4 linked regions of the Astyanax mexicanus genome follow. The protein of the gene in region 1 interacts with the protein of each later gene in a pairwise test. Links are inferred from orthologs where the notes say so. Each region holds a gene or a part of one and is shown on either strand. Other genes may lie near its edges.

Region 1 (7,982 bases):
CTTGTAGATTTTATTTATCAGAATGTATCTTATGTATTGTTCTTTTTTTAGCTTAGCTTCAGTGCATGAAGTTGGCATCAAGTTGACAATAGAGTGTATACACTGACAGGTGGTGGACCTGTGGATAATCTGTCATGGTTGGTGGGCTAGTGTCACCATATGTATAAAATATCTTCACCTACAAGAAACTTTTCCATGTTTCCCCAGTATAAAAATGCTGTGTGTGTCCCAACAATTCAAATGAAGCAGGAACTGTACATTTGAATCCAGTTTTCCAAACAAAATCCTGCTAAAGTGCTGCAGGTTTCAACTACAACACAAATCTAACACAACCAATTCAGCTCACCATGAAAGTGTGAAGCTAGTAATGAATTGGATCAGGAGAAGTGGATTAGGGTTGGATCCAAAGTCTGCGGGAGGGCAGCTCTCCAGGAACAGGGTTGAAACCAGTAGTGTTACATGTAATTGTTCCTTATCACATAATGGGAATGCCACTAGTTTCATGTTTTGACCTTTCGAAAAGTGTGCTGCTATATAAAATGTTGCAATATCCTAAACAAATAAAACTTGTTCATGTTAACAGGCTCTCTTTTTTGCTAATAAAAATGAAACGTGCAATACTGAGCTCAGCAAAGCTTACTGAGGTCTCGTCTATACATTGTATGCTACGTTGTTAATGTAATTAGCTGCTTGTAGGATAAGTGTCAAGTTCCAGAGCTATGCAGGGGAAAGTGATCTTGCTCTGGCCAGGGGCAGAAAGTAAGAACGAGGCTGACTAACTCTAAGGCTGGCTGACAAGGGCTCAGCTACAAATGAGCCACAAGTCATTCAGATCAAGCTATGTGAACCTAGATATCACTTCACATGGAAAGTCAAACGAAGAACTGAGGAGGAAACTTCAAAACCCCAAACATGTCTTGTCTTGGTTGATCAAGCACATTAGAAGTAAAAGAAAAAGTGTATAAACTTTCGCTTTAAAGCTGCCAAACATTCAGAGCAGGAAAACACCTTCACTCAGATCTAGCTTTGTTATTCACATATCACACATTTCTCTTCTTGAGATGTCCTTTTTGTGAAGTCAAAAGAGATCAGGCTTCAATCTAAAAGTATTACTGGCAAGGGAAAGGGATCTCAATACCTAATAAAGGATGCATACATTGTAAGTAATGATGATTCCTGAGTGCTGCTGATTCCTGAGGTAAAAGACCTGCATTTAACTGAACTGTTTTGTTCCATTTTCTAAAAAAAATCCTTCCAAAGTATTATAAATAATAATGGACAGAAATATTTATTATTAAGATTTTTTATCTGCTCTCTCAAAATAATCTAAAGCATGCAGTAAATAATACACACATTTCAGAATGTGTGTATCATTTACAAAATACAAAATTACTTACTAAAAGACTTATTATGATACAGAGCAAAGAATATATGACTTCATCCCTGAAAATGAATATCACGGTATTCCAGGTGCAGGTGCATACTGTGCAGCTCTACTGGAAAAAAACAATAAACAAACCCATTTAACTCCAAAAATCTGTGACTTCTGTAACATTCTATGGTTTTATACATAACTAAACAAGAAGTCTTAACAACACAAGCTTACACTTATTTTAAAATTTCATTTTAAGCTATTTTCCAGCATTGTTATAAGAACATATTTTGATATATTAACAATTTAATTTGCTATCTGAATAGGTGACAGCTTTAACATCGTGCAGCCTATATATATATACAGCTCTGGAATAATTTAAGAGACCACTTCAGTTTCTGAATTAGTTTCTCTTATTTTGCTATTTATATGTATATGTTTGAGTAAAATAAACATTGTTGTTTTATTCTTTAAACTACAGACAACATTTCTTCAAAATTACAAATAAAAATATTGTCATTTAAAGCATTTATTTGCAGAAAATGAGAAATGGCTGAAATAACAAAAAAGATGCCGAGCTTTCAGACCTCAAATAATGCAAAGGAAACATATTCATATTCATAAAGTTTTAAGAGTTCAGAAATTAATATTTGGTGGAATAACCCTGGTTTTTAATCACAGTTTTCGTGCATCTTGGCATGTTCTCCTCCAACAGTCTTACACACTGCTTTTGGGTAACTTTAAGCCACTCCTCAAAATTTCAAGCAGTTCAGTTTGATGGCTTGTGATCATCCATCTTCCTCTTAATTATATTTCAGAGGTTTTCAATTTGGTAAAAGGGAAAACATAATTTTACATAACATAATGTTACAGAGCTGTAACGTTATAGTCTGGATCAGCGTGTATCTGACAGTCAGGCTCTCAGAGTCAGACACTCTAGCTAGGTAAACTAACATACACTGAACACATCCAGTTAATCAGGCCCCTCCCAGAGTGGACCTCAGCAGGCCCTGTTATTCCAGACTGACTGCAGGCTAAACTCACTCTTTTCTGTACTGAAACGTCCTATAAACGACTCAACATGGCGGTTAAACGCTGTGTTATGTGCTCTGAGTCTGCTCGTTAGTAGCAGCTCGCTGCTAAAGTCGTATCCGCTGGTTATTAAACAGCTGAGATGCGGGATGTGTCCGCTCGCCTCCGTGGCCTTTTTACTCCTGAAATAACACAGAGACCCGAGCTGCTGTTCAATAATGTAGCTGTTCCTGCCGCTCTCCTCTTCACCACACAGCCCTGCTCTCTGCTTTAAACAGACACCAGCCTGTTTTATAGCGGATAAAATTAAACAGTGAAGCGCTGGTCGAGCTGCGTGAGCGCTCATCACTGAGATCCTGCTGTTCTGGGTGAAAAACGGGATCAACAGTTCGCGAAGACTACAGATAAACACACAGCCTAGCCTCCAATACAGCGGGTACAACAGCGAATAGCACCTCTAACACAGCACCTGCTGCAGCACAGCCGCGCTCAGCCTACCTGTGGACTGTCCTGCAGGGCTTCCTCCAGGAGTAGTTTATGAACGGCCGGCATCTTGCTCTTTACAAGTAAGTGATGGTGCTAGAATTATTGGAGCTGTGTGGACTCGCTTTCCCGGTGTGCACTGCGCGACCGGGCATCACTGAGCCACGCCCCCGCGACGGTAGGTAATAATGCTAGTTAATGATGTAGGTTAGATTAGACAAGCAAGCTGAACTCTTCACACGTTTTAATGCTTAAGCGACGTTGATTTATGAAGACATGTAAGTGAAATTACCTCAAATTACATTTTTAGCGTTTTATTCACACCTATGCTCATGTTTAACACTCACACTAGAAAAAGCCTCTCCGTTTAAAGCTGAATGTGATCCGGCAGCGCCCCACACTGGACGAGGCTGAGTGATACTGAAAGATTATCGAAGCCTGCTCCGTCTTTACCTTTACTGGACATTTCTGTGTCCTCCTCACAGGGACGGACTGAGACCAGTCCCCAGGACGGCCCTGTACTTTTTATTACCTCAATTATAAGTTCTTACAGGTCTTTAGAAATGAATAGGGTCCCTGATTTCACACTAATAAAGCATTATGTCGTTGCCATTTGTTGCGGTAATGAGCTGTGGGCGGGGTTATGCTAATTTCAACGAGCAGGACTTCTTGGTACTGTGTTTATTGGAGCCTGCTTTCTTCATGTGCAGTAGTGTATTTGTACATTTATTTCACCTAAATAGACTTATTTTTATTTTGGTGGCTGTTTTTTTTTTAACACCTACAGTATTTGATGGAATTTAGGAAAACATTTATTACCTCTGCCACATGTTTGGCAAAGAGTGATACTGTGTTGAATGGCAGTATGTTTTCATGAAATTGTTACTCTGTAACCTTTTGTCTGACATATCTGACAATATCTCACCAAAATATGCTTGATTATCTTGTTAAAAAGTGATTGTTTGTTTATTAGTTTGATTCTATTTGCAATTGCACCGTTTAATCCTCCAACCTTTTAAGCTTTATTATTAAAAATAAAAAAACGGATAAATCAACTTTGGTTAATCACAGCCTTTGACACAGATACAGGTTTCAGGTGGTTACAAAATCTCAAAAAGGTTTAATTTTACTATGTGGAGGTTTTTCCCAGATCCCATCACATCCTAGTGCATTTCAAAAATATATATAGAATTGAAAGGTTACTTTATTTCAGTAATTAAGTATTTCAGTAACACGTGAAACTCATGTATTATATAGATATATTGCACTCAGAGTGATCTATTTTAAGCGTTTATGTCTTTTATTGTTGATGATTATGGATTACAGCCAATGAAATGTAAAATTTCTGATGATCAGTAAAGGTTTGGAGAGCCACGTTATCTGCTGGTGTTGATCCACTGTGTTACATCAAGTCCAAAGTCAGTGCAGTGTTTTCCCGGAAAATCTTACAGCAATTCATGCTTCCCATTGTTGAAAACTTTATGAAAATGCGGATTTAATTTTCCAGCAGGATTTGGCACACTGCCCACACTGCCAAAAGCACCAATTGGTCTTATATAATATTCAAATTTTCTGAGACACTGATTTTTTGGTTTTCATTGGCTGTAAGCCATAATCATCAGCAATACTAGTGCAATTTTTGAAATTAACTAGTATAATAGCCTATTAGGTCTATTCTGTGTAATTATTAGCCTGCACTTTTAGACCTACACGCTTGACAAATGGACAATTTATCATATTAGCGCCCTCAGTTGTTGTTAGTTGCTAGACTAAATAAATTCTGGTTATTGAAATGAAGGCCGTTCTGGACTTTCCCAGAACTCACAGTCCGTCCCAGTCCGTCCCTGTCTCCTTGTGGCTCATCATGATTCAGTGCAAGAAAATAAATCTCATTATTAGGTAATAAGTGAAGCAAGGAAACATTCTACAAGTGCAGCTGGAGTTTAGAAAAAATGTAAGTGATAATGATATATTCTCTATTTTAATTTTGTATATTGTGTTTTTAAGTTTTTAACTACTCACCTGTAAACCTGTGCTAATGTGATGTGACCAGAAATCTTATTCAGCATCAATATTAGACTAATGTGTAAAGCAGCATGGTAATGTAAATATACATATATTATCTTAAACTGTGTTATATTTAAATGTATATATTTTTAATAGTGATATTAACTCAGAATTAGATATATAAAAGTATGTGTAAATGAATAAAAAGTCCTTACAGGCCTTCAGAAATTAATAAGGTCTCTGATTTCACGCAAATACTATACTGTGTCTTTGCCACTTGTTGCAGCAATGAGCTGTGGGTGGGGTTATGCTAATTGCGGAGAGCAGGAATTCTGGGTACCGTGTTTATTTGGGATAATATTGCTTCGTTTTGGCGTGTTTTTCAACATTATATTTCTCAATTACGTGTTTTTTATGCGTCTTGGTTGCAGAGTGCATTAGTAAAGGTTGCTTTAGTACAGGGTACTCTGGGTTAATCACCATTTTCTGGAACACTGTCACCTTTAGTGATATAACGTCATGGTTTAACATGTTGGGTATGGTTGTTGTCTGGTTTTTGCTTGTAAGTGGTGGATAGTCTTGTAGTTGTAAAGTTGTTCTGATTGGCAGACGTGTTTGTATCTGCGTAAGATATTAAATGGTGTGTGTAGTGTTTTTGTAGTGTAGTTGCTGAAGATTAGATTAGGTGTTGATGTTTCGTGTTCTACTCATTTGCAGCCACTGCAATTTAATTTAACACATGTAGGTGCTGTGAGTTTAAAGCACTATTGTTTTTCAGTGTAGGTGATTCATTTGTTTACTCCCTGAAGCTCAGTCAGGAAAAGTAGCATTCTGTTTAGCTCAAAGTTAGCAAGCAGAATGTATTAGCTAACTAGAAATCATTCTGTTGATTGAAAATAATGGATGCAGATGTTTTGCAAAAGCAATGAAAAGCAGAGATTCTAAGCTTTACTATGATTCACTGACCCTGACTTACGGGACCAGTATAGTTTCAGATAAACTGATGGATATACACAATGAACGATTTATGGCCTGCTGGTGGGCTCAGGCAACAGATTAATAAAAAGAAGCCATATGTAATTGCTAGTTTAGCAGGGCATGTACATATGAGAAATCAGCATTAAAAAATGCAAAAAAAAAAGTACATTTTATTTGCAATATACTTTGTTTTTTCATTGCTTAATATGAGTCTTTAAACACTACCATTGTAGTGCACTGTTTCTCTAATTGGGATTGGTTGAGAACTGACCTGCACCTCCTGAGAACAGAATCAGTAGAAACTAAGCATTGGCTAATTTTCTTACCTAATTTATGTGTTCCATCATAAGAATGATTCACAATCACAATCCAGTGTCTCCTTTTATTAAATTGCTGTTTATGCCAGTAATTCTGTGTATGACAGTCAGTTTAAATGATGTCCTATAGTTTCTTCCTTAATAATAGCAAAGCTGTTTAGTCTGAGACCAAAACTACGCTCTGTGAAAACCAAGAGGACACAGAGGCCTCTAAATACTGTGTTTGAATATATACATACAGTGTGTACAGTGTTGTGTAACCAGTGTGTAATAATGTATATCTTTACTGAACTGCATACTGAATTCTCATACACTGACTGAAGTAAGATATAGATTGTCTGCCTCTAATATAGTATATAGTATGTAAAGTATAGTATATAGTGTGTATAGAAATGCTGGTACTTTAAATGGCACATTGTCACAAGTAGGACTGTGTATTGGCAAGGACTTGGCAATATGATATGTATCACAATACAGTGGTTACAGATTAATATATATCACAATATATTGTGATACTGTAAGCAAGGCAAAAATATATTTGAAAACTGTCAATATAAATTTTTATAAAATCTGGGAAAAATGGGAAATAAAGTAATTTTAAAAAATCAATAAAATAAATGTGTTTTTAAGAATATAACAATATGGAGCTTTTTTATCGTCTTACTTTTTTGCAATATTATTGCGTTTGAAATAATATTGCACACTGCTAATGCACAGTAACAAAACGAGCCTGCTGTATTGTAAGGGTTAACGATACATAGATAAATTAACTAAAAGTATCAGTTGGGTTTTACAGATCCAGTAAAAATGTAGGATATGGTCACTCTAGGTTCCCTTTATGTTGTAGTTGTGTGTTGTTATGGTTCAACTCTCTCTCTCTCTCTCTCTCTCTCTCTGTCTCTCTCTCTCTGGCACATATTCATCTGTGCAGTGTACGGTCTATCTGTGAGTGGAGTATGCTGCCAGATAATGGTATAATGTGCTCGCTTCCAAGTTGGCCGTCTCATCCTCTCATCCTCGCTGTGACTACAACAACAAGCAGCTCTTTGTTTATACCTGAATCTGCACTACTCGTGATCTGATCCAAGTAATTCATTACACCGCGAGACCAAAACATCCTCCTCCTCAGCCAATCCACCAAAACCCTTCTCTTTGTGTTCCGCCAGCTTTGATTGCCATATTTCAACACAAAAACGAGCTGATATCATGTTAAGAGTCACGTGTAATGGTTTTCCAGCTCCCTTTTATGGACAAGTGCTGCTGCTGTTGGAAATAGAAAACCCCATGCTGTGCTTTTTTTCTAGCACTGCAGACACGTCTTTATTGAGATAAATTTGACAGATGATGATCTGCAAGTCTGTGCTTTATAATGTTGATGTTTTTAATCACTAAAGGGCGAAAGCATCTTCTTAAATACAGTATGAAGACAATAACCACTATTGATTCTTAATATAAAAAAAACTGCAAATAATGGTCCTTTTCCCATTTTAACCGGTTTAACCGACCATGCTTTAGATTAATTCTTGCAAAACTACATTACAGTTCCAATGTACATCAATTCAATAGGCCCTAAAATAGAACCTTATGGGACTCCACATAATACACTGCACTAAACAGTTACAGTGGAAAAAATAATTATTTGATCCTCTGCTTAATTTGATCCCATTTAACCCAAAGACATGAACAGCCTATCAATTTTATATTACGTTTATTTTAACAGAGATAGACAGAATAGCAACAAAAAATACAGCACAGAAACTTCAAATGTAGGTTATAAATAAATGTGTTTTTGA
Region 2 (7,632 bases), about 9.9 Mb from region 1:
ATATTATCTGAAGCTGCTGGCCCAGACCTGTTTAAATTTGTGCACTGCGGCCATATGACTGCTTAGTTAGATGGTGTACAGGTGATCCTAATATATTGCTTGTTGAATGCATAAATTATAGTACTCTCACTACACAATACAGATGTCTTTGCCTGTGAGGCACTAATATCAAATATTTGTTCTTTACTTCTGCCCACATTTTTAGGGTGCTGTTAAAGATAAAGGCTGCCAAAAAGGTTACTTATGCCATGCCATAGGAAAAGCACTTTTGCTTAGATAAAACAAACCTTTTAATTTTTAATAAAACGGTTTTGTGAAAGAGATGAGTGTTGAGAACCTTTTATAACAAACATTTAAATTTTACAGACTTCCATATAATAGTTAATAAATTTGACATTATGTGAAGGGTCCTAAAATCTTTAAAAGTTTATTTTCTCTTTGACACATCTTTTTAAAATGTGCGAACCAAAAGTTTTTTTTATGGCATTGCACAAGAACCCTTTGTGAACACCTTTTTGTTTTATGAGTCTGAAAATTGGCTACTGATCCGGATCTTAAATTATAATTGATTATAACTTTGTTTTGTTTTTGGCTGCTTTTTCCTGTCAGTATGTATGGTTGTGTTTCTGGAGAGACAAGGAGATTTCCAGTACAACACTCCCTTGTTTCACCAGCTTTTTACTGATAAGTGGTGTTGATTTGCGTTGGACTCCACACATGGCAGCATGTAGAACTTGCCCTTTTATGTTGATCAGTTACCACTTCTCGAAACCATGACCTGAGGAACCATTGCTTGAAAACCCAAAAGCTTAGATTAGCAGTAATGGCAGCTTCTACCAGTCGTGCTGGGACTCCCAGAGCTTTGTTTTCTTTTCTCCTCAACATGGCTTCTTTGAAGTGGTCTAAGCGGAAGAACGTATTGGCATCACCTGATCAGTCTGCTCTTTGAGCCTCTCGGTCATATCGGTCTTGAAAAAACTAACATGATACTGTTGTATACAATGGTGCTGAATTACAAGTAAATGTTTTTCTTTTTTTCATGAAGTGACAAATAAAAGAAAAAAGCTTCAGTTTCATAGGCTCTTTTTTATCTTGAGCCCTATTAAATATGAGGTTTCTAAATTCCCTAGAAAGACAATAGGGCATTTATTTTCTCTAAACGTTCGTGAGCATGTGTGTGTGTTGGAGGGAGAGAGACCTTCAATGATGGTTTTGTTTTGAGATGGGCTAGAATAGTGGCCCACTCATCCTCCAGTGTAAATGGATCCATGTCCGTTGAACCCAGATCCCTGACTAAGCCCTGCCGGGAACTGCTTCTAATGTGGCTGGTGTATATCTAGAACGGCTTTAGTGCCTTGAAACCGGTATGTGCTGCTGCAGTAGTTGCTTTCCTTTTTTTCCTAATACAAAATAGTCTATGCCTGTGCTTAATCTGTTTTGTGCTATGTGCAAACACATCAGAGCTGCAGGGGTTTTTAAAATATGATGTAGAGTGTATGTAGAGTGTATCTACTGGTTTAGTACAAGAAAGTAAATACTATTGTCAGCACTCAGAAAATGGTGCTGATCTTGTTGTTAGAGGTAAAAGCTTTAGGGGTGCTTCAGTGTCGTGTGGTCTTGAGGAAATCCAAACCTCATTAAAGCAAATGGGGTGTAATTAGTCTCACAAGTGCTCCATTACACCGGATTGATGGCACTGAAAGTTAAAGAGACATACAGGTGTCGGGTTTAGGGAAAGCAGCCCAAATGAATTCAGTGCAAGTAACGTAGAGCAGTTCACCAAAACCTCATCTAATATCCCTATCACCCCTCCCTCTGGGTTTTCAGAGAATCCTTTATCCTTCATTATGTTTGGATGATTTTATGTCCTTTACCATGGAGCTTTGCTGATTTTATTTGACATTTTATATTTATAATTCTTAAAAAAAAAAAACTGCCTGTAAAGCTTTTCTCATAATTATAGTATTAGTATACCCCTTTTACACCTGCTTCCTTTGTGTGTCATGAGTAATATTGGGATTCTGCTTGGATCAAGCCAAGCACACACAAGATCTAAAACATAAACATATTTAATCACTTAAACCAATCACCCAGCACATGAAACACCAGTAATATTTTCCATGCTACAAGCAAATCAGCATATTCTGTCGCACACAGCAATTACATTTCAGTCGGACTTAACATAGACACTTGTAACTACCCAGTGTAAATGGTTAAAATATTATCAGCACACAATACAACTACTAATCCTAATCATAAGGTGTCCAGGTCTAAACGGAGTCATCGTCTCTGAATTGACAGGGAAATGACAGACTAAACCTAAAAGCAAAAACTATAAAGGAAAAAAGTTTAGAGTTTTATTACATCAGAGTTACAAAGCAGCTTTACAGAAATCTGGGTCCAGAGTTAAAAGTGATACTGCACAGAGGGGATGTAACTGCACTGCAAAGAGAAAAAAGATAATCAGATGTGATATGAAAATTCACTTAAGTCTAAGAGAACCACTCAGTTTAATCTTAACAGACACATTTAATTTAGCAAATTTTGCCTCAAATAGGAACTAAATGAAAAACAGGATACGACGCAAATGGACAGATGATCCAGATGCCCTTATATAATAAACCCAAAATGCAAAACAGGCTAGACTAAAGATTTAAACTTTTAGTTCTTTGTAATGTGATTTATCATGTCAAAAACAACACTAGATGTTTACACAGACATACGAAAAAAAACATTTGTTTAAGATATGCCTATTAATTTAGTATTATTCATGTCAACAATGTCTGTCTAGTACAGAACAAAAATTAACTGAAGGACATTTTAGTTTAAAAAATGAGATCGTCATAAAGCAGAAAAGAAAGAAAAAAAGAAGAAATTGCAGATGCATATTAACAGTTTCTAGGGTAACAGTGAGAAAAATATATAAATACTTGGTAAGAGTGCCTTTGGGAAAACTTCAATTAACCAAAGTACACAAAAACAAAAAAAGTGAGGTTAGAGGAATTCTTCTGTAAACTGAAGGCAGAGACAGATAATCAAACATTTTTGAATATAATCCAGAATAACCTTTCCAATGGTTCAGAAAAAAAATATTAAAGACTATTTAACCATTTATAAGCAGGGATGGCATGACAGATAGAATGGAACAGAAATGTGCAGTGCAGGTAATTTAATCACTGATGGATAGATATGCACTAAAAATAGGGAGATTTAATTGTGTGAACAGAACACACGTCTTCAGGATTAGCCAAATAAAATTTACATGCTGTCTCTGACAGCTGCTGACATACCAACGCTCATTTCATGCAAATTCACTTCATATCCTGGAACAACTGTGTCAGCAACAGCAATAGTAATGCTAAAAATGAACAAAGAATATGCACACATACATCTACAAGCAGCAATTATTGGGGGTAAATCTTAATTGTATTGCCAAATGTTACCCAAACTCTTGCCTGTAGAACATAATTAGGCTTTTCAGTCATTTAAGGTATTACCTTCATGTGTATCTTAAGGCAGCAGAAACCCTTGTTTGTCAAACTTTAATACAGTTGTATAAAAAAAACTCTTGTTCAAATAATGTCATTTATAAATGTAAAGTCATATATTTATATTCTAAATACTGATACAGATGTTTTCATATACAAAATTACCACTTTAAAATAAGGCTTCTTTATTGAGGGGTTTCTAATGTTATTAATTAGGTTAGTAAACAGCTAGATCCTTATTTTACTTTGTCTTTTCCATCAGTCAGCATTAACATTTATGTTAATAATTTTATTCATTTAACTATGATAACATATTAAATTACTTAACTTACATTTTATTTTTTATTAGATATGTTAAACTGTTTTTCTTATTATTTGTGTTGTAAGTGCTTATTAATGTTTTAAAGTATTTACCACTTTATTTATAGCCATTAATAAACCCCTTCATAATATATTTATGAACCCTTTATAAAGGAGCCTTATTTTAAAGTGGTACCAAAAATGTTTTACTTTATCAGTCACATTACCCTTGGTTCTGGACAAAATCCTTGTGAACTGTAAACAGAAACATTTTAGAAAACAGCATTCATTAGGTTAACGGTGGCTTATTTTACTACTACTCTTTTTTTTTAATCAAAATGTACTTTTTATTTTGACTCAATTTTAATAGCGTTCCAATTAAAATTTCCACGATTCTGGTAAGTGAATTAATTTTTACTATGAAATAAACTTAACTTTTCATTAATAAAGGTTATGCTATAAATACTGCATAGTTGTTTAGTCTTATCATTACATTTTATTACGTTTTAAATATGAGTTTTAGTTAGCAAAATAGCCACAAAGCTAGCTAGAAATTCCCTACAATTTGTGGCACAATTTTCATTAAGGTTTCTGGTTGGTTCTACTATTTGACTGTATGATAAACTCTCCTCATAAACCACTGCTATTTTTTAAATAGTCATATAATTTTCGTGTTTCCTGAAAAACGTTTAGACGCTTATTTTTATAGGAAGGTGTTGATATTAGATTCTGACTAAAATCGTATTTCTTGGTAATGACACCTTTCTCTTATTTTTCAGGCCGCATGTCCACCAGAACCTCTTCAACATTTGTTTAATTTTCGCTTTAACAAACACGTCTAGATAAATAACAGAAGACACAGTAATGGCTGAGTGTGAGGAGCAGTTATTATGATATAAAAAAAAGTTAAACAAATGTTAAAAAAATTAAGTTAAAAAAATTAAAAACAGTGTAGACAGATGTGTGAACTAAACTTCAGTTCCCGGGTTTCGTTTCTAGTCGGTGCCAAATGATGCAACAAGAGGAAACGGTGGAGTACGGAGCCCCGATAATAACAATAACAGACCTATAAAACACAGAGTACAGGTTTAAATGTGGGGTTATGAGTCCGGCAGGTCGGGTTTTGGGTGAGTATTTCTGTTGGACCTGTGGCGAAGGGTGGCCGTGTTTGTGCCCCGCTGCTGAGCTCCAGCCTGCGTTAGCCGGATTAGCAGAGGTGCTAACAGCAGCCCTGAACTCCACCAGCCCGAAACTAACGATATCAGTGCAGCCATGGACCCGAAACACAGAGAGATACTCCGCGCGAACACACTGCCGCTCTGCGAGCAGCTGATCGTGGACGACACGGTCATTCAGTTCCTGTACCAGGAGGACATTTTAACAGAGAGCCAGGTGGAGGAGATCCAGTCACAGCCCTCCAACAAGCTGAAGACCCTCAGGCTGCTCAGTGTCCTGCCCAGCCGGGGTCCCCGCGCCTTCAGCGGCTTCCTCACAGCCCTGCAGCGCGACTTCCCCTGGATCAGAGACGAGCTGCTGCTGCAGCAATCAGGAGGAGGAGAACAGGACAGCGCGACCCTGTCCCCCTCCACAGGTCTGTCTCTCTCTATCTCTCTTTCTCTCTCTCTCTGTGTTTCTGAGGTGTAGTGGCTGCTGTACACACAGGCACAGGGCGAGGTGTACGTTAACTCGCTAACCGGAGAGTGTGGAGGTAACTAGTTTTATTCAACAGCTCTGGAAAACATGGAGGAGATGAACTGAACTCGCTGACCCAGAAGTTCAGGTTGCTCGTTTTCCCCTTCCAATGAAAAAACAACACTAGTCTGGAGTTACAGTCAGTGAGTGATAAGGTGGTGGGCTCAGGTTTCCCACAGCTCTAGACTCTATAGACAGTTCTTTCCTTCTTCTGAAGTGTCCTCACACCTTAGGAGTGACAGTGCTAATATAACTTTGTAGCTAGCTATCTAAAATAACTAATAGTGCCATGCAGTAGTAAATTTAGTTAATAAAGGCTATAGTTTAGCCTTACTATTGAGGTTTATTAAAAAACAAAATTCTGTATTTCAGTCAGCAAAATCAGCTGTAAGGTCTGTAAAGCTGGCTAGCTTGCAGTTCACTACAATTTGTTGCAAACTGTTAAAATAGAATTGTTTCAGGAGTTAAGATTGGCCCAGGGAGTTGTAACAGAGGTTTTTAAAAGGGTGTCCAAACCTCAGATGATTTCATTTTTGTTGTTGTACTGCAAAAGTCAGTTACGTAGTAATGCCATAGGTGAATGAGCTGCCCTGTTCTTTTACAACGATTTCTATCACAAACACAACAGTGCTGGGAGGTATACCGTTTTATTCGGTATACCGGAGGGGAAAATTAAAACCAGTATGCATTTTCACCTACTTGTAGAGGAGCTGCGGAGTGCTGTGTGGAACAGCACTGCTAAAGAAGCACATACAGCATAACAAACTAACACATGGGAATAACTGTAGCTCAGTTCTGTGGAGTCAAATGCTCTGTCCTACACGGGAAAAAAAATGAGAACAGCTCTTTATCTAAAGAGCTCCTGTTGCAATGTGAGTGTTTTTATGTGAGTTAAATAGAAAAGCAACAGTAAACAGCAATTATTCACTCAGAAAGAGAAGAATGGAATTACACAAACCATTCACAGCTTATTTATTTTGTTTATTTAGCACAAGTGATAAAACTCCTTAAACACTGGATACGAGGTGCAAAAACATTTCAAGAGCAGTAACTATAGCCCTGTTTAAATACATTAATACTGTAGCTTGAAGGATAATATTAATGCACATTAAATTGAATGCATTTGTTAACTGGAGAAAGAAGGAAATAATCTGTGGCTTATTTTAATACTGTAATGCCTCTAATGGCTTCAATAATAACAAATTGTAAATTGATATTAAACCTCTGTCTAACTTGTTCTATAGAACATTTGAAAAATGTCTCTTTAAATACTTCAATCAAAGCCTTTATTTAAAGCCTTAGTGTTTTATATTATATGTACTCCTAACAGCACAGCAAGTCACACACCAATATTAAAGCCCAGTCATGCAAAATAAAAAAATTATTAACAAATTTGTGAAATACCGTGAAACCGCCATAATCTAGTTGGAAAGGAGGCTCTTCTACCCCGATAGGTTGCCTCTAGCATGGATACAAGATGAGATACACTTGGGCATAGAGGCAAACAGGGTCTGTATGGCATCCTGCGGCACAGTTGCTCAGCTGGGCCTGTAGATCCTGTACACTTTATAGGTTGCCAAAGCTGACTGCCCAGCTGGTCCTGTAAATGCTTGATTGATAAATTAGGCAGTGTGTTGGAGTGAAGTGGTTCAATCCTTGCTGTGTGTGAGTGAGCACTGTCCTGCTGAAAAATGACATGCTATTCTGCCATTCTGCCATGAAAGACAATGTGTGGTTGCAGGAGGATGTACTGACATATCACTAACATGTTATTGTAACTCGTATCACCTCTTGAAGTGACAAACTTGTAGTATGTGCTGGCTTCTGATAATCACACCAGCAGTTGGGGCAGTGTTTCGCTCTACAGCAAAAGCAGGATTGAAGCTCTCATTGCAAGGCAGGTTTCTTGATCACAACACTCCTGTTATAACGACTGGCCTAAGGACATCCTAAAGTTTGTCGGCTGGGCAAAATGTCCTTGATTGTGTTATAGAACCATGTCTGTTAGTCTCTCACCAAGAGGTACACTACTCAAAAGTAGACTCTTTTCACAGAGAGCAGGAAAATTATTTTAACACCTTTGCCAAGAACTTGTGTCTGTTCAGATCACACCTTCAGTCCTTTACACTTCTGCCTGAGACATGCATGCTGA
Region 3 (7,521 bases), on another chromosome or scaffold:
AACACTGCTATTTGGTCCTTTAAACTATGCCATAAAAAGGGAAGTAAATTTAATACATGTTTTTGTTTATCTCATTTTAACAAAGTTAAAGAATATATCCTGTGGTTCTTTATGGGACAATAAGAGGTTCTCTAAGGGCACTGCTCAAAGAACTACGTGAAGCACCTTTATTTTTAGGAGTGTAGTAGTGCAAAATTTATTGACAGTTAATCATTGTCATGATACTGGCTTTGGCAGTATTGATATTGCACAGATAGAGATAGTGTATTGATATGGAAGGCTTGATAACAGCAGAAAATCTTGGCTTGGGTTAGAGGTGGGCAATAACTTTAGAAATCTGATTTTGATTGGATTATTGATTTATTTTTTTAACCTTGGAGTCCTGATTTACATCATCAAAAAAACATAAAAAAAAGGTTTTTGGTTGCCCTATGTTTATGTTCTTAGAAAATCATACTGTGTTTGATGGCGATTTGTGGTTCAGCCCTGTCCTTCTATTCAGCAGAATTATTACACAACCTCCAGCTTTTTTCTCTTTCTATTTTCTTTACCATCTCTTTCACATGTATTGAGATGCCCTGTTCTCTCTGTGCTGTTGTTTTGTTGTTATATGTTTGTACTGAGCGGGTCTTGGTTCCACTTAAGGTTTCATCACAATTATTGGCATCTCTGTAGTGCTCAAATCACAAGAGGCATGGACCTGTTTTCTCTGTAAAGCAGCTTTGTGACAACTTTTGTTGTAAAAACCTCTATATAAATAAAATTGAACTGAATTGAATTTGAGTGGGTCAGGGGTTTGATTTTATTATCCAATTGTTCTGTCCTGTAAGGTACAAGTGTTTTTTAAATAAAAAGGCCCTATACAATACAAATCTTAACATCAACAATATGCCCAGAACACACAGCACTACCTGAGCCACAAATAAACCTTTAGAAACTGCTCTTAGCTGAGAAAAAACTACTCTCCACATCAGTCATCACATGTCAAGCCACAGCTTCAGCCATGAGGTGTCAAACCATCACTGTGAAAGTGATAAAAACATGCGAAGATCAACCTCAAGACACCATCATGTGTAGCCTATTCGAAAATGCTAGAGAGCAAAAGTCCACCCCTGTGCTAACTTAGCTATATAACATGGTCAGCCTTGTGTTATGTCAGGTCACATAGCTAAATCCTTACTGGGTATCAAAGGTTAAGAAACAGCATTAAAAAAAATGAAGCTCCATCAGAACAACCCAACAGAGGCAGTGGTATAACCTTTTATCACTATGACTCAGCCCAAAACACTTACTAACTCTAGTTAACACGACTGACCACAAACCAGGTCTTCATATCAGTTATTTGACTTTATGAGACAAGTTCAGACAGGCGTAGGCCACAGGAAACTCAAAGTGAAGGCTACAGCAATGACTCAGCTGGCTAGCCAGCTACTGTGGCTGGTCTGGTTTAGCTTGAGAATTAGCTGACTTTCGATTTCTGTGTGACACGCACCTAATTTTACATATTCCCAGTACTAGAGCTTCCCTTTAACATAAGAACATGGACTCTTTGATTAAAAATGTATCTTAAGATGGAAATGGTTAACTAAGGTGCATGACCACTCCTCCTCCATTTGATAGCTAAGCTAAGCAGATTGGCTGGCTAGTTAAATGGGACATTTAAAACTTGAGCTCTGATCCTGCTGCATAAGATGAGTATAACTCAACTTACTAGGCTAACTTAACTAACAAGCTTAGCTTAGCTATTAAATTACAGCAACAAAATAGCTAAATAGCTAGCTAGCTTAACCCCAAACACATCTCCAACAATAATCACATAACGTTAGGTTGGGTTAGCTAGTTAGCGAACCCTACCCAACACAAACCCATGTCTCATAAGCTCACTTTTAGGACTTTTTTGTCATGTTTAGAAACACAATTAACCTCTAAAATATATGACATTAGCGACATGCTTACAAACAAACAAACTATAAAAGGCAAAAGCTTTCTCTTAGAAGCATAGCTAAGCTAGCTAACATAACGCTAACGTTACCTCAATAGAAGGGGTGGGTAAGCCAGCTCCAGAAAGTAAGAATCCCTCCCAGAGTTTTGTACCAACTGCCTGGGCGGCTCTGTTGCAGCTGAACCGCCCAGGGAGTTGGTACAAAAACCTGGGATGGATTTTTACTTTCTAAAGCTGGCTTATCCACCTCTACTTAATAGTCGCTTTAGCTAGATATGGTTAGCTAAGCTAGATATGCTAGCAACACAGTGTCCACATAAAATAGTGACCAAAGGCTAAATGGGCAAACGCTTTTTTAATGGCGACTAGCGACAAATAAACAACCAAACCAACTAAATATGTGTTTTAATCGCACAAATACACAGTTAATAAGTGAATACGACATAGAGGACGTATCTATGTTTATTAACAACGCCAACAAGCTCGAAAAAGCAGAAGCTGCCTGCAGACACCAATCCACTCACTGGCTAAGCTGGCTAAGCTAGCTAGCTAAACTAGCGTTAGCTAACAGTCTTCTGAATTTGTTGTTATGTCAACAGGCTAATCAAGATAGCTAAGCTTAGCTATAAGCCAACTAATTAAGCTGGTGTCACTGGTAAAACTAGCGTTAGAGTTTTAATACGTGTACTCACAAGAAGAGAGTAGGTTTAGCTAAATAGACAGGAGACGCTTTTATTAAACTCCAGGCTGGGGAGTGAGTTAAGCTAACGCTAGCCAGCAACGTAGAAGCTAACAGGCGATAAACATGACCGTTCAGCTGTCTAACCAACGTTTTAATACCTGCCATCGACAGTGTCGACCAGAAAAAAGCTGTTAACTGAATAAAAACGTGCTGGATTTACCTTAGAGTCTCTCACACGGAAGACTGACTCAGGGTCAGAGCGCAATTCCTGCCTCTCGCCGCCCCAAAGCTGCCTCTCTCACCACGGGCCCCGCCGGCATTCGCTTCCGCGACTTCAGCGATCCTCAGCGATCCTCCTATTTCCGAGCGCAGGGACTTTTACTGCTGACGGACTGGGAGAAGCACCAGTCAGATCAACTCACCTGCAGACAGAGAGGGGAAGTGTTGCTTGTGTTTCCTCAGAGTCAGAAGTTTGGATGATTTTAGTTCTTTCTGAATATTGTCAAATAAAAGACTGAGGATACATTTACTTGTACTTTAGGCTTAATGCCTCTAAAAGCCTCGACTGATATGACTGACTGACTGGGCGTCCCCTCCCCACCTGAGGTAAAATGAGGTAAAAAGTATGTCGTATTATAGTTATTGAAATACTAATTGTATTCCTATGTGATTCATTTATCTGTATCGTTTTCTCAATTTAGTTAATTACGGACTCCTTCAGTTTAACACAATAAAAGTGTTCCCTTAAATTTTCCCATTCTTTTCCTTAGTTTAATAAGGTGTTCCCTCAATTTAAAAAAATCGTTCCATTAATTTAGGTAACCAATTACTCTAGTTTTATTAATAGTTCCTTTAATTTTATAGATCATTACCAAACAAACCACTCCACAAATTTAATAATTCATTGCCCCATTTTAACAGTTTAGCCCCATAGTTTAAAAAATAGTTCCCTTAATTTAATAGATCATTCCCAAACAAACTGCTCCACCAATTTAATAAATTGTTACCTCATTTTAGCAGTCCAGTTTCTTATTTTAATAAATTGTATCCTTTTATTTAAAAAACTTTCTTTGATTTAACAGTCTGCTCCCTTAATTTAATAAATTATTCCCAAAAAACTACTCCATCAATTTAACAAATCATTACCTAATTTTAATAGATCATTCCTAAGCAAACTTCTCCACCAATTTAATAAATTGTTACCTCATGTTAACAGTTTAGTCCCTAAGTTCAATAAATTGTTCCCTCAATTTAGTAACATGTTTCTTCGTTTTAACAGTGTGCTCCCTTAATTTAATAAATAATTTCCAAACAAACTGCTCCACAAATTTATTAAATCACTACCTCATTTTAACAGTCCAGTCCCTCAATTGTTCCCTCAATTTAATATCTTGATCCTTCTATGTAACAGTCTGCTTCCTTAATTTAATATATCATCCACAGTTCTGGTATGTAAAATATACGCTACTAACACTCATTTTTGACATAGATGTGAAAGTGCATCCATACAGCATGTCTAGTCTCTGTAGAAAAGTACTGCCAAACAGAATAAAATTCTCTGAATTTACTGACATCATGCCAAATGCCAGAAATGAAGTGGAGGAATATAAAGCCCCCAGGATTGAGCTGTGGGAGAGTGGAACTGTGTTGAATGATGGAAAGCCATCCAACCATCCAACATCCTAAAGCAGGGGTGTTCAAACTTTTTCTGTTGGGGGCCAGAAAGAAGAAATATATTTGAAGTCACGGGCCACAGACTCTGTAATAAAACAAATAATGAAATACACCACTTTAAATAATACATTTTCCTCATTACTTTCATTTACACACCATTTTACTTGACTTACTATCTTTATCTATCTTTGACAGTGTTGTGTAAACTAAGATTTTTCAAATTGATGTTTCATTTCATGAGGTCTCTTAATATTAAACTCCTTAATTACGGCAACTTTTAGACTCTTTGGCCCGTTTTTCTGCGCTAAAACTGAGCACTCTCTTCGCTTTTAGACTTTTTGGCCCGTTTTTCTCCGCTAAAACTGAGCACTCTCTCCGCTTTTAGACCCTTTGGCCCGTTTTCTTGCGCTACAACTGCGCATCCTCTCCGCTTTTAGACTCTTTGGCCCATTTTTCTGCGCTAGAAATGCGCACTGTCTCCGCTTTTAGACTCTTTGGCCCGATTTCTGTGCTACAACTGCGCACCCTCTCCGCTTTTAGACTTTTTGGCCCGTGTTTCTTAGGGCTGGACCCGAATATTCGGGTATTCGGATATTCGTTCGTTGAGTAGGTATTCGGTTTTTAATTTTGGTATTCGGATATTCGTTTTTTTTCTCCTTTCCAGAGTTCCACCTCACTCTAACCACTTCTGTTCTCGCGGGTCCCGTCAGAATATCTTGCGCGCGGGACAGAACTGAACTGTTATTGGCTGGAGCGGGAGTTTAATCCAGACGATGCGGGAGCAAATTAATAAATAGTTAAGAAAACTGTAATAATTGTAAAAAAAAAAACCTAAAGAAAACTCTCAACGCGCAGGATGGACCGACACACACGCACACACCGATGGTGTTTGGACTGGGGTAAGGAACGGGACCACACTATTCAGCGCTGCTGTTTTAATAAATATATAAGTAAATTTGAAGCATTAAATGTAGTTTATTTAATTTATATTAGGAACGCGGGGCGGGAGCGGCAGAAATGTGTATGTGGCGGGCGGGCGCGGGATTAAAAGAAGCAATTTTTTTGCGGAGCGGTAACGAGACAGAAACGCGGGAGCGTGGAAGAGTGGGTTTAAAAATCAGTCTCGCGCAGACCTCTATTATACATGATAAAAAAAAATGCAGGCTCTTCGAAACTGATTTATATAATAAAACGTAAGGGGTAATGTGGCAACAGTAGGGGCTAAATCGGTTACAAAAGCCTGGCCTACAAAAATGATGTCTGAACGAATTTCCTCTTATCTAATATAATTTAAAATGGTTTAAAAATATAAAATAATTTCTAAGCAAACGAAATATTTAATATTGAGCTTATAGCCCAAGTGCAAAAATACAAAATCAGTAATACGGCTATGCCCTGCACAATCCTTAAACCGAAATAGACCAAGTACAATAACGTCATTAACAATGACTTTCCTCTACTCTAATATAATTTAACATGGTTTAAAAATATAAAATAATTTCTAAACAAACGAAATATTTAATATTGAGCTTATAGCCCAAGTGCAAAAATACAAAATCAGTAATATGCCCTGCACAATCCTTTAACTGAAATAGACCAAGTACAGTTTACAATGACTGTCCTCTAATATAATCAACAATGTTTAAGAATATAAAATACTTCCTGAACAAACGTTTTTTTTGTTTGTTTTTTTAAGCAAATAGCCTAAGTGTGAAAACACAAACAGCAATTTACTGGGCTGGCTTGCGCAGCGGAGAAACCGTGCAGCAGCAGCCTCGGTGTGGGGCAGCAGAAATTCCGGGATGAAAACACAAAGAAATCTGGGCTAAAAACACAGAAAAAATATGGGGTGAAAACACAAAAATCCGGGATAAAAACACCAAAAATCCGGGGTGAATATGTCTCGTCGGTCAGAGCAAATTGAACATTTTTCAGTGGATTAAAGGGGCCGTGATTTGCTTTTTTTTTTTACCTCTTTTTTTAAAAACGAATATTCGAATATTCGCTTCGAATCAGTGCCGAATATCCGGAGCTCAAAAAACGCTATTCGGGCCAGCCCTAGTGTTTCTCCTCTAAAACTGAGCACTCTCTCCGCTTTTAGACTCTTTGACCCGTTTTCCTTCGCTACAACTGCGCATCCTCTCCGCTTTTAGACTCTTTGGCCCGTTTTTCGGCGCTAGAAATGCGCACTGTCTCCGCTTTTAGACTGTTTGGCACGTTTTTCTGCGCTACAACTTCACTCTCGCCGCTTTTAGACTCTTTGGCCCGTTTCTTACACCTAGCGTTCAAACTTTGAATCTCACATTATAAAAACCTGCTTAACAGCGGGCCAACTTTCATTCTATTTCATTCTAGCCTTTTATGGATATTAGAGACAGTTCATAGTTACAATAAACTATTTATTAAAGACCTTGATTTTGAACGAAACAATGCATCTCCTGGTGTCCCAATAATTTGGTCCATATAGTGTATATTTCTGAATAACTCATTTTATATTTTCCGTTATAAATCACCTTCACTTGATTCATTTGATTGAAGAGACTAACTATTTCTACATCTGAAACAACTTAAATAACTGTATCTGTAGCTGTTTCTATGGTCAAAAATAGTTAGCCTATTGCCTGAGGTCATGTTGTTACTTGTAGTTTTGTTTATGTAGTTTACTTTTAAAAAACCTTGTTCTCTTCATCATTTTATTGAGGAGATTAACTATTCCTTGTGGCTGAAACAACAGATACAGCTGTACCTGGCTTACATTGCCTGAGGTCATGTAGTTACTTACTTTTAGTCAAGCACGTTTACATTGATGAACCCCAAACATTTAAATAATTTAATTGAGGAAATTAACTATTCCTGTGTCTGATACAGCTGTGTAGTTGTTACTAAGGGCAAGAACAGTCAGTCTACATTGCCTAAGGTAATGTTTTTTTTCTTTTATTAATGTAGTTTTACCTTTATAATCCTGAATCACTTGAATCAACTGATTGAGGGTCTTAAACTACTGGTATTCACTGTGTCTTATACAACAGATAAAGCTGCAGGTTCTACAGTCATATAGTTACTTTTACTTTTATTCATGTAGTTTTAATTTTACAAACTTTTTTTTTTTCATTTGAAACATTTAATTGAGGAGATTGTGATAATTATTCATGTGTTTGGAATAACTCATACAGCTGTACCTATAGGTTCTAAGTTCACGACCAGTCAGTCTGCATTGTCTGAG
Region 4 (7,425 bases), on another chromosome or scaffold:
TTAGAGCTGTTTTGGTCAATTTATTTATTCAACTACATAGACTTATTGTTCCCACCGTACAAAAGATTTGTACATTTGTACAACATAAAAAGAGACATACCTGCATCCTCGGACATTCTGCCAACTGTCTCCATCACGCTGATGAAGTCATTCTCATCATCACTGAATTCTCGTAGCACATCTAATAACCCACGTGCAACAATTTGTCTAAGAAAAACACAGTAGAAAATAAGGAGATTAAAGCACTGTTTGAGACAAGGTCATTTATAGTCATAAACAGAGGACAGCCTGCTGTTCAGTGGCTTTTATTGGTTAAGTGCTTACACAGCTGTGCTGTGAACGTAAATTGCTGGTGGTCGGCTTGTTGTCTAATAAAGAGGTCTGTCTGAGGTCCACATTTGTGCTAGAGTGTTTTGTAGAGTTAATTTCTTTAATGACAAGGACATATCATTGTACAACTATTACAAAACTTTTAATGGAAGTCAGTGTAAAAAGATTGAATCTTTCTATTTCTATTTGTCCATTCCCCATATAAAAAAATGCCCAAATGTTTGGGAACCATATGTATGAGTATATAAACACACTACTGTCACTCACCTGTTGAAGACATTCTCACTGAAGGCATATTTTTCTAGCCGGCCCAGAGGAGTCAGGTTATCCTGCCCTGCATCCAGGAATGCTGTGATTCTAATACCATCACACTCAGAACCATAGTCGTCAAATCCAACTGCAACAAACAATAGATTGCTTCAGTTCAAGAACAGGATGTGGCCTTGTGTATCACTAAATTACACCAAAATAAACACTACAATCATCCCTACTATCACATTGCTCTATCAAATTATTTACCTTCACAAACATTTGCCAAATATTCAGTATTTATATAATTGCAGCCACACAAAACTCATGCATGTCTCAATGGGTAACTTTACACAAAACCTTGACACGATGTAGGAAACATTGTCATCACATCTGATCACAGTGTTAAATTATTGAAACTTTACTTCTTAAAATCTTTTTAACAATTTCATACTTTTTATAAGTAAAAATGCTATTAAGTCACAAATTAAGACATAATAACCCAAAGACATACTGTTAAATTACTTTATTTTCAAAGCAAATTATAATATTTCAGCAACCTGGTAGCTTCCTTTGAACTCAGTTTTTAGATATCAGCTAATTTAAATGGCATGTCACGAGTAACAAAAATCAGTTTTTGCTAAAAGAGCAAATCATGTGTATGAATACTTACAGTCATCTAGCTCATCATGACCATCTTCAAAATACAAAGATAGACCTGGAAAGAGCCAGAAAAAAAAAGCTGTTTAAAATATATTCAAACACAATTTAACTAAACTAATAACATACAAAAACATCTGTACTCTTGCAGCGAGTAAACATCCACAGTGCAGAAGTGTGGGTTTCACATGTCTTTTAGAGTTAAAGCAATAAACCAATGAAATGACATTTCTGTTTCTCTCAAGAAAGAATGGGCCAGTTTCCTAAGCATCTTAACATTAAAAACCTCTTAATGAGAATGCATGAGAAAGCGAGACAGAGCTCAGTGTGATGCCACCCCAGGTCAATGAAGGAATGCCACAGCCTATATAAATAATATTGCTATCCATGTGCATCCCTTCATGATCACTATAAAATTAAACAAATGAGGTGCATCTGAAGTGTAGTCTATCCTAAGAAGGTTTCAAATCAATTGTAATGGAATGCAAAGCCTAAATTATGAAGATTGTATCTCTGTCCACATATTTGTATTTTCTTACTAAATGTCAGCACATTTAAATCCTACATTTAGTTGTTTTTATGGTTTTAAAGCAAAAGAGAAAGCTTGGAACAGGAGCCGTAGCAACAGGAAGCAGGTAGAAATAATCATTGACGATTTAGACAAAATAAATATCAGATAAGTCTACTACCAAAATACTCTTTTGTAGCAACCCCATTATATTCCGATTCAAAGTATCAATATTCAATATTAACACGTGACTTGTAAAAATAGCATTAGAGATACAGGTTATGTGGTCCTGGTAATATGCTTAGCCTAACTTAGATCTGGAGATCTGATATTATCGTTACTAGTAAACATTTCACAGCTGATATATGAGATACAACTCTTTATTAATATATCCTAGTTTCATTACAGATATCTTTATTTAAGTTTTTACTAATGAAAACTGAGTTAATACAGAAGTTAACCAGCTAACATAAATACCTGACAGGTAAAAAGCACGCAGGAAACAGTCTGTCACATAGATGAATACAGCTAAAGGGTCTGTTCACATTGTTTTATTCTGTTTAGTGTTTAATTAACGAATATTTAACTAGTAATGCTAGTTTAATATGTTATACGTGTCCCAAACTTTACTCTATATTTTTTAAAGAATGGAAAAGAGCTTAGCTGAAGGATTTAACCAGATAAAGGCTTTGTTTTGCTTCTACGAGGGCGTTAGCTAGCTAAGCTAAGTAGAGGTGGGTAACGCAGGTCCAGAAAGTAAAAATCCATCCCAGGGTTTTGTACCAACTGCTTGGGCGGCCCTGCTGCAGCCAGAAGACTAGCTAGGCAGTTGGTACAAAACCCTGGGATGGATTTTTACTTTTTGGACCTGAGTTACCCACCTCTAAAGCTAGCTACCCTTTGGCATTCTGAGCACGATACTTAACTACAGTTAGCTAGGTTATTAATAAAATATGGATAAACATATATTAGCTATAAAACACAGGTAAATTTTAAAGTTACAGCGAACAGTTACATAAAACCCAACAAAAAACTGAACAATTCTGCGGCTAAACGTTAGCTAACCTAAGCTAAGCTAATCTATGCTAAGCTAAACTAAGCTAGGCTAGGCTAAGCTAGGCTAGGCTAGCTGTTCGCTACCGTGTTGGTCTAAAGCTTGGACTGGAAGCCCTCGTTAATCCACAGAAAAGGCGAGAAACGTCAGATTATTATTATTAATATACACGCTACATGGCCGTGTTATTAAACACGATTATATTTCGATATAATAACGATAGTAAATGATTTAAAAAAACAACAGAAACCTGAGGGAGGAAAGGAATTATTCCACATTACCTGCCATCTTGATGTACACTGTTCTGCTGCGGAGCTGTCATTCACCCCGCAGAGTAAAGCGCCTCCTGAAAATAATTCCTCCTGCTGGAACTCTTTAAACAGGGCTTTAAACATTTATCTAGTATTATTGTACAAAAAAACATGCATATATTTACAAAGAAGGATTGCAAGTAAAGAGAAAAAAGTACGGGTTCAACCAAAGAAGAAAAAATAAATAAATAAAACAAATATAAAGATTTAGGGTTTACATTCTAAAACATTATCTTCAGTTGGCAATGGGCTCCGTGGATAAAACAAAATCCTCAGGTAAATAATAGTGTCCATAATTGTCCCAAAAATGTAAAAAAAAAAAAAAAAAGATATTAGTATGTGCAGTGATATTAAAAGTGCTATTTAAACAATAATTTATTAAAGCAAGCATTTTATCTAACTTCATTATAAGTCTTAAGCCTGACTCAGTGCCTATTTTCACCTTCAGTAACTTTAGAAAAAATGAAATGCTCAAATAGCAAAAATGTGTTAAATTAACACCTTTTTAGTATTTTTTTTTTTTTTACATCTCTAATGCACTGTTAAAACAACATTGATCTGCAAGATTTATTCCACGTGATGGTTTTATATGTCTTGTTTGTATTAATGCTTATTTAACTTACATTAAATATGCATATCATGTAAGTGTAAAATTTAGAAAATCTAATAAAAATCTTCACATAATCTTTTTTAATCATAACAATCTATGAAAACAAAATACTCAAAACTAAGTATCTTCAGAAGATATATTACATTTAAATAGAATTGCAATCTTCAATGTAATCTTTAATGATCTGCATTTAATGATGTTTTTTGTTCAAAGATGGTTTTAAATTTTTATTTTAATTATAAAAAGACAGAATTTTTTTTAGAATTCTTTCTTCATGAATAGAATATTTTGTTAGTATAATAATAATAATCCATAGAGAACAACAGTATGTTGAATTAACTTCACAGAATTCACAGACGCAATGTTGATCTCCGACATTTATTCAATGTTGTTTTTAATTTGTCATGTTTAAAAATATTCAGTCATCTGACTAAAATAAAATAAAGTCAGAAGAATTGTCATAACAATCTTAAAATACTATTTTGCTAATAGTTACAACCTATGAAAACAGAAAATACATGTTATTGACAGTTTTTTATAACATATTTTCAATTAAGTAGATCTAATTTTGTGACTAGTAAATAAAAATAGCACGCTCCTAAAATAAGCAATAAAATGTTCTCAAAATGTAAAGAATTTCAACAAGCTTCTCAATTTTTATGGAACAGCCGATGTCACGTGACACACCAGCCATAACTCAAGGTGGCGCCTCCGGAGTTGTTCGCTGTGTAGCTGTTGGAGCTAATAGCGCAGCTAGCGTCAGTTCAGAGCGCTGATTTAACCGGTAGTTTACAGCGTTTTGAAGTCATAAAACCTTTTGCGGATTAAAGTTATTTTCTCTCTCCAGCTTTACATTCTGCAGGAAGGCGGGTACAATAAAACAGCGGGCAGACTTCCTGCCACATAGCTGTATAAACGCTGGCTATGCTAAGCTAACTGGCTAACACAGTTCAGTGTAGATAAGAGAAGTAGTTAGACAGCTAGCTTAGCTTAGCTTAGCCTAGCCTAGCCTAGCTCAGCTGACTGCTGTGAGCCGGACTGTAATGTTTAGGGACGCTTTATTATTTTGGGGATCGATATGTCTCTCCGAGAGCTGAAAGTCTGCCTGCTTGGGGTAAGATATTTATGTAGCGTTACATTTATTTATCGCTGTGTTTATGTTAATGTGTAGTTAGCATTAAAAGCTAATTCTTCTGCTGACTGTGTTCATATTATATTGCTGTCAACAGATCCACAGTAGAAGAAAACTAATATAGTTAACTAGTTATCTATACTGGTACTGAGTCTCTGTTTTTATTCACACATAAACTGTAACTTAGTTAAAACACAGTGTCAGATTTGCTATAATATAGGAGAGTTAAAAATTATCGTTTCAGTTAGAAATGTTGTGTAAATACTTCAGAAAAGTTAAGATTAGGGATTGAGCTGGGAGGTTAATCCAATTAATTTGATTAATAAAATGAACCGTTTTTTTTAAATTTAGTTATTTATAGGTTTATGTTTGAGTAAAATGAACATTGTTGTTTTTTATTCTACAAACCACGAATTTCTCCCAAATTCCAAGTAAAAATATTGTCATTTAGAGCATTTATTTGCAGAAAATGAGAAATGGCTGAAATACCAAATAAAGCAAATGATGCAAAGAAAACAAGTTTTTATCCATAAAGATTTAAGAGTCCAGAAATGAATATTTGGTGGAATAACCCTGGTTTTTGATCACAGTTTTCATGCATCTTGGCATCATGTTCTTCTCCACCCGTCTTACACACTGCTTTTGGATAACTTTATGCCACTCCTGGTACAAAAATGTAATCAGTTCAGCTTGGTTTGATGGCTTGTGATCATTCATCTTGCTCTTAATTATATTCCGTAGTTTTTTTTTTTACTGAGGTTCACCATTTTTAAGTGGTCTCTTTACTTCTTTTCGAGAGCTGTATAGAAGCTTTGTTTAATATAATAATATAAGAACTACATGTAAGGTTGAAGGGGTCTGCTTACTCTTCGTTAAAAAAAATAATAATTGAACTAAATGTAAAGAAAACAATAGCTTGCAATTTACAAATGGTGTTGTTTGTTATGTAAATTTTTGTTACAAAATTGCCAGATTCGAACAATATGGCAAAAATCTATATCATGTATATTTCTTAATTTCAGTAAATACAATATAGTTCCGATATCAATATGAACAGTATAAAATCCACCACCCATTGTGTACGTAATCACACACTGAGAACTGAGTGATAGTAAAAATATATCACAATATTTAAAGACTGTTTTTACAATATACATAATTTATAGTTATAGCTATATGAGTTAAAGTACAGATAAGCTCATTACCCTAGGTAAAAGTAAAAGTTCTCACATTAGACCTCCACTTAAGTAAAAGTTCAGAATTATTTGCCTTCAAGCCAAATACTGAGGTATTGAAAAGTGAAAGTATCACAATTTATGTTTAAGTTTCAGATTAAAGACTTGTTGTAATATATTGTAATTATTCATTTCTTACAACTTGATTAGCAATGTGTATTTTTGGTATAATTAAGTGATTTGTGATGAGTGAGTATTGTTGTTCCATTGTGTTGTAGGACACCGGTGTTGGAAAGTCGAGTATTGTGTGGAGATTTGTGGAGGATAGCTTTGATCCGAACATTAATCCTACAATTGGGTAAGCTTATCGCTACTTAAAGTGTTCATCTTCACTCACTAGTCATGTTGAATATATGATCACAGAATAGCAATTCTTTTTATTTATTTTCTGATGTGATGGAATTGTGTCTTTACTCAAAAGAAGCAGTAGAAAATAAGTATAATAAGTGTGTGTGTGTGTGTGTGTGTGTGTGTGTTGTGATTAATTTTTTTTTCTAAAATGAAGAAAATGTAAGAATACTGACTGGTATGGGTGTAACAGTACACATCAGTCACATTCATGCTGCGGTTTGACCTCCATGGATCAGTACTAATTTTGTACAACAGGAAATTATAATGTAATATATATATATATATATATATATATATATATATATATATATATATATATATATATATATATATATATATATATATATAATGTCAGTAGGGAATGACGATGAACGCTAGGCTCATATTCATTTTTACACTTTACTTACATAAGTTAAATGAAATGGCTTTTATCAGCTAAACGATATGAGCTGTAAAGGGCCTGTACAGTAAAAATAGCTAAGCTAATTATAGCATTTGATTGTTTACCAACAGACTTGCTTCGTTTCTCTGTGTAAATGTAATTTAGTTTGGCATACTGAGGAATTGAACATTCCCTGAATGCGTCTTCACTTCCTGTATTTATTGTTTCAAATGAAAAGCCTTTGGGCTGTCGTTGCAAAATGACTGTAGTGGAAACATATAAATGGTAAATAAGTTGCTCTCTTGCACAATTACGGTGATTAATGTGTACAGTGTATTCTTCATGTGACTGTATGCACCAACCCATGACATCCATATTGTGACAGTGAATATACCTAGAAACATACTGTTGACAGCAGAATTACTAATAGAACTTAACTTTTTTTTTTAGAGCATCATTTATGACGAAGACTGTGCAGTACCAAAATGAGCTCCATAAATTTCTCATCTGGGACACAGCAGGACAAGAGAGGGTAAGCAAATGCGTAATCCCTGCAAAAGTGTTGCTCACACTTTCACTTTCTATCTTCAGCTCATCTGATGT

Evidence for each region.
Region 2: the proteins of appl2 (region 1) and cradd interact in binary tests that used the Homo sapiens proteins (3 or more experiments, as listed by UniProt). The two-hybrid records come from large-scale screens. The link is inferred for Astyanax mexicanus from reciprocal best matches to the Homo sapiens genes APPL2 and CRADD.
Region 3: the proteins of appl2 (region 1) and rab5c interact in binary tests that used the Homo sapiens proteins (3 or more experiments, as listed by UniProt). The two-hybrid records come from large-scale screens. The link is inferred for Astyanax mexicanus from reciprocal best matches to the Homo sapiens genes APPL2 and RAB5C.
Region 4: the proteins of appl2 (region 1) and rab22a interact in binary tests that used the Homo sapiens proteins (3 or more experiments, as listed by UniProt). The two-hybrid records come from large-scale screens. The link is inferred for Astyanax mexicanus from reciprocal best matches to the Homo sapiens genes APPL2 and RAB22A.

What each region holds. Positions count from the first base shown.
Region 1 is NC_064409.1:46,283,371-46,291,352, reverse strand, and holds the start of appl2 (DCC-interacting protein 13-beta), read right to left. Parts: upstream 3,015-7,982; 5' UTR 2,957-3,014; coding exon 2,903-2,956; intron 1-2,902. UniProt on the Homo sapiens protein: Multifunctional adapter protein that binds to various membrane receptors, nuclear factors and signaling proteins to regulate many processes, such as cell proliferation, immune response, endosomal trafficking and cell metabolism.
Region 2 is NC_064409.1:36,379,257-36,386,888, forward strand, and holds the start of cradd (death domain-containing protein CRADD), read left to right. Parts: upstream 1-4,618; 5' UTR 4,619-5,060; coding exon 5,061-5,379; intron 5,380-7,632. UniProt on the Homo sapiens protein: Adapter protein that associates with PIDD1 and the caspase CASP2 to form the PIDDosome, a complex that activates CASP2 and triggers apoptosis.
Region 3 is NC_064426.1:26,224,211-26,231,731, forward strand, and holds the start of rab5c (ras-related protein Rab-5C), read right to left. Parts: upstream 3,014-7,521; 5' UTR 2,845-3,013; intron 1-2,844. UniProt on the Homo sapiens protein: The small GTPases Rab are key regulators of intracellular membrane trafficking, from the formation of transport vesicles to their fusion with membranes.
Region 4 is NC_064412.1:55,114,427-55,121,851, reverse strand, and holds the start of rab22a (ras-related protein Rab-22A), read left to right. Parts: upstream 1-4,411; 5' UTR 4,412-4,800; coding exon 4,801-4,836; intron 4,837-6,307; coding exon 6,308-6,387; intron 6,388-7,272; coding exon 7,273-7,354; intron 7,355-7,425. Other genes in the region: ppp4r1l (serine/threonine-protein phosphatase 4 regulatory subunit 1), read right to left, coding at 101-207, 598-727, 1,253-1,297, 3,083-3,089. UniProt on the Homo sapiens protein: Plays a role in endocytosis and intracellular protein transport. Mediates trafficking of TF from early endosomes to recycling endosomes. Required for NGF-mediated endocytosis of NTRK1, and subsequent neurite outgrowth.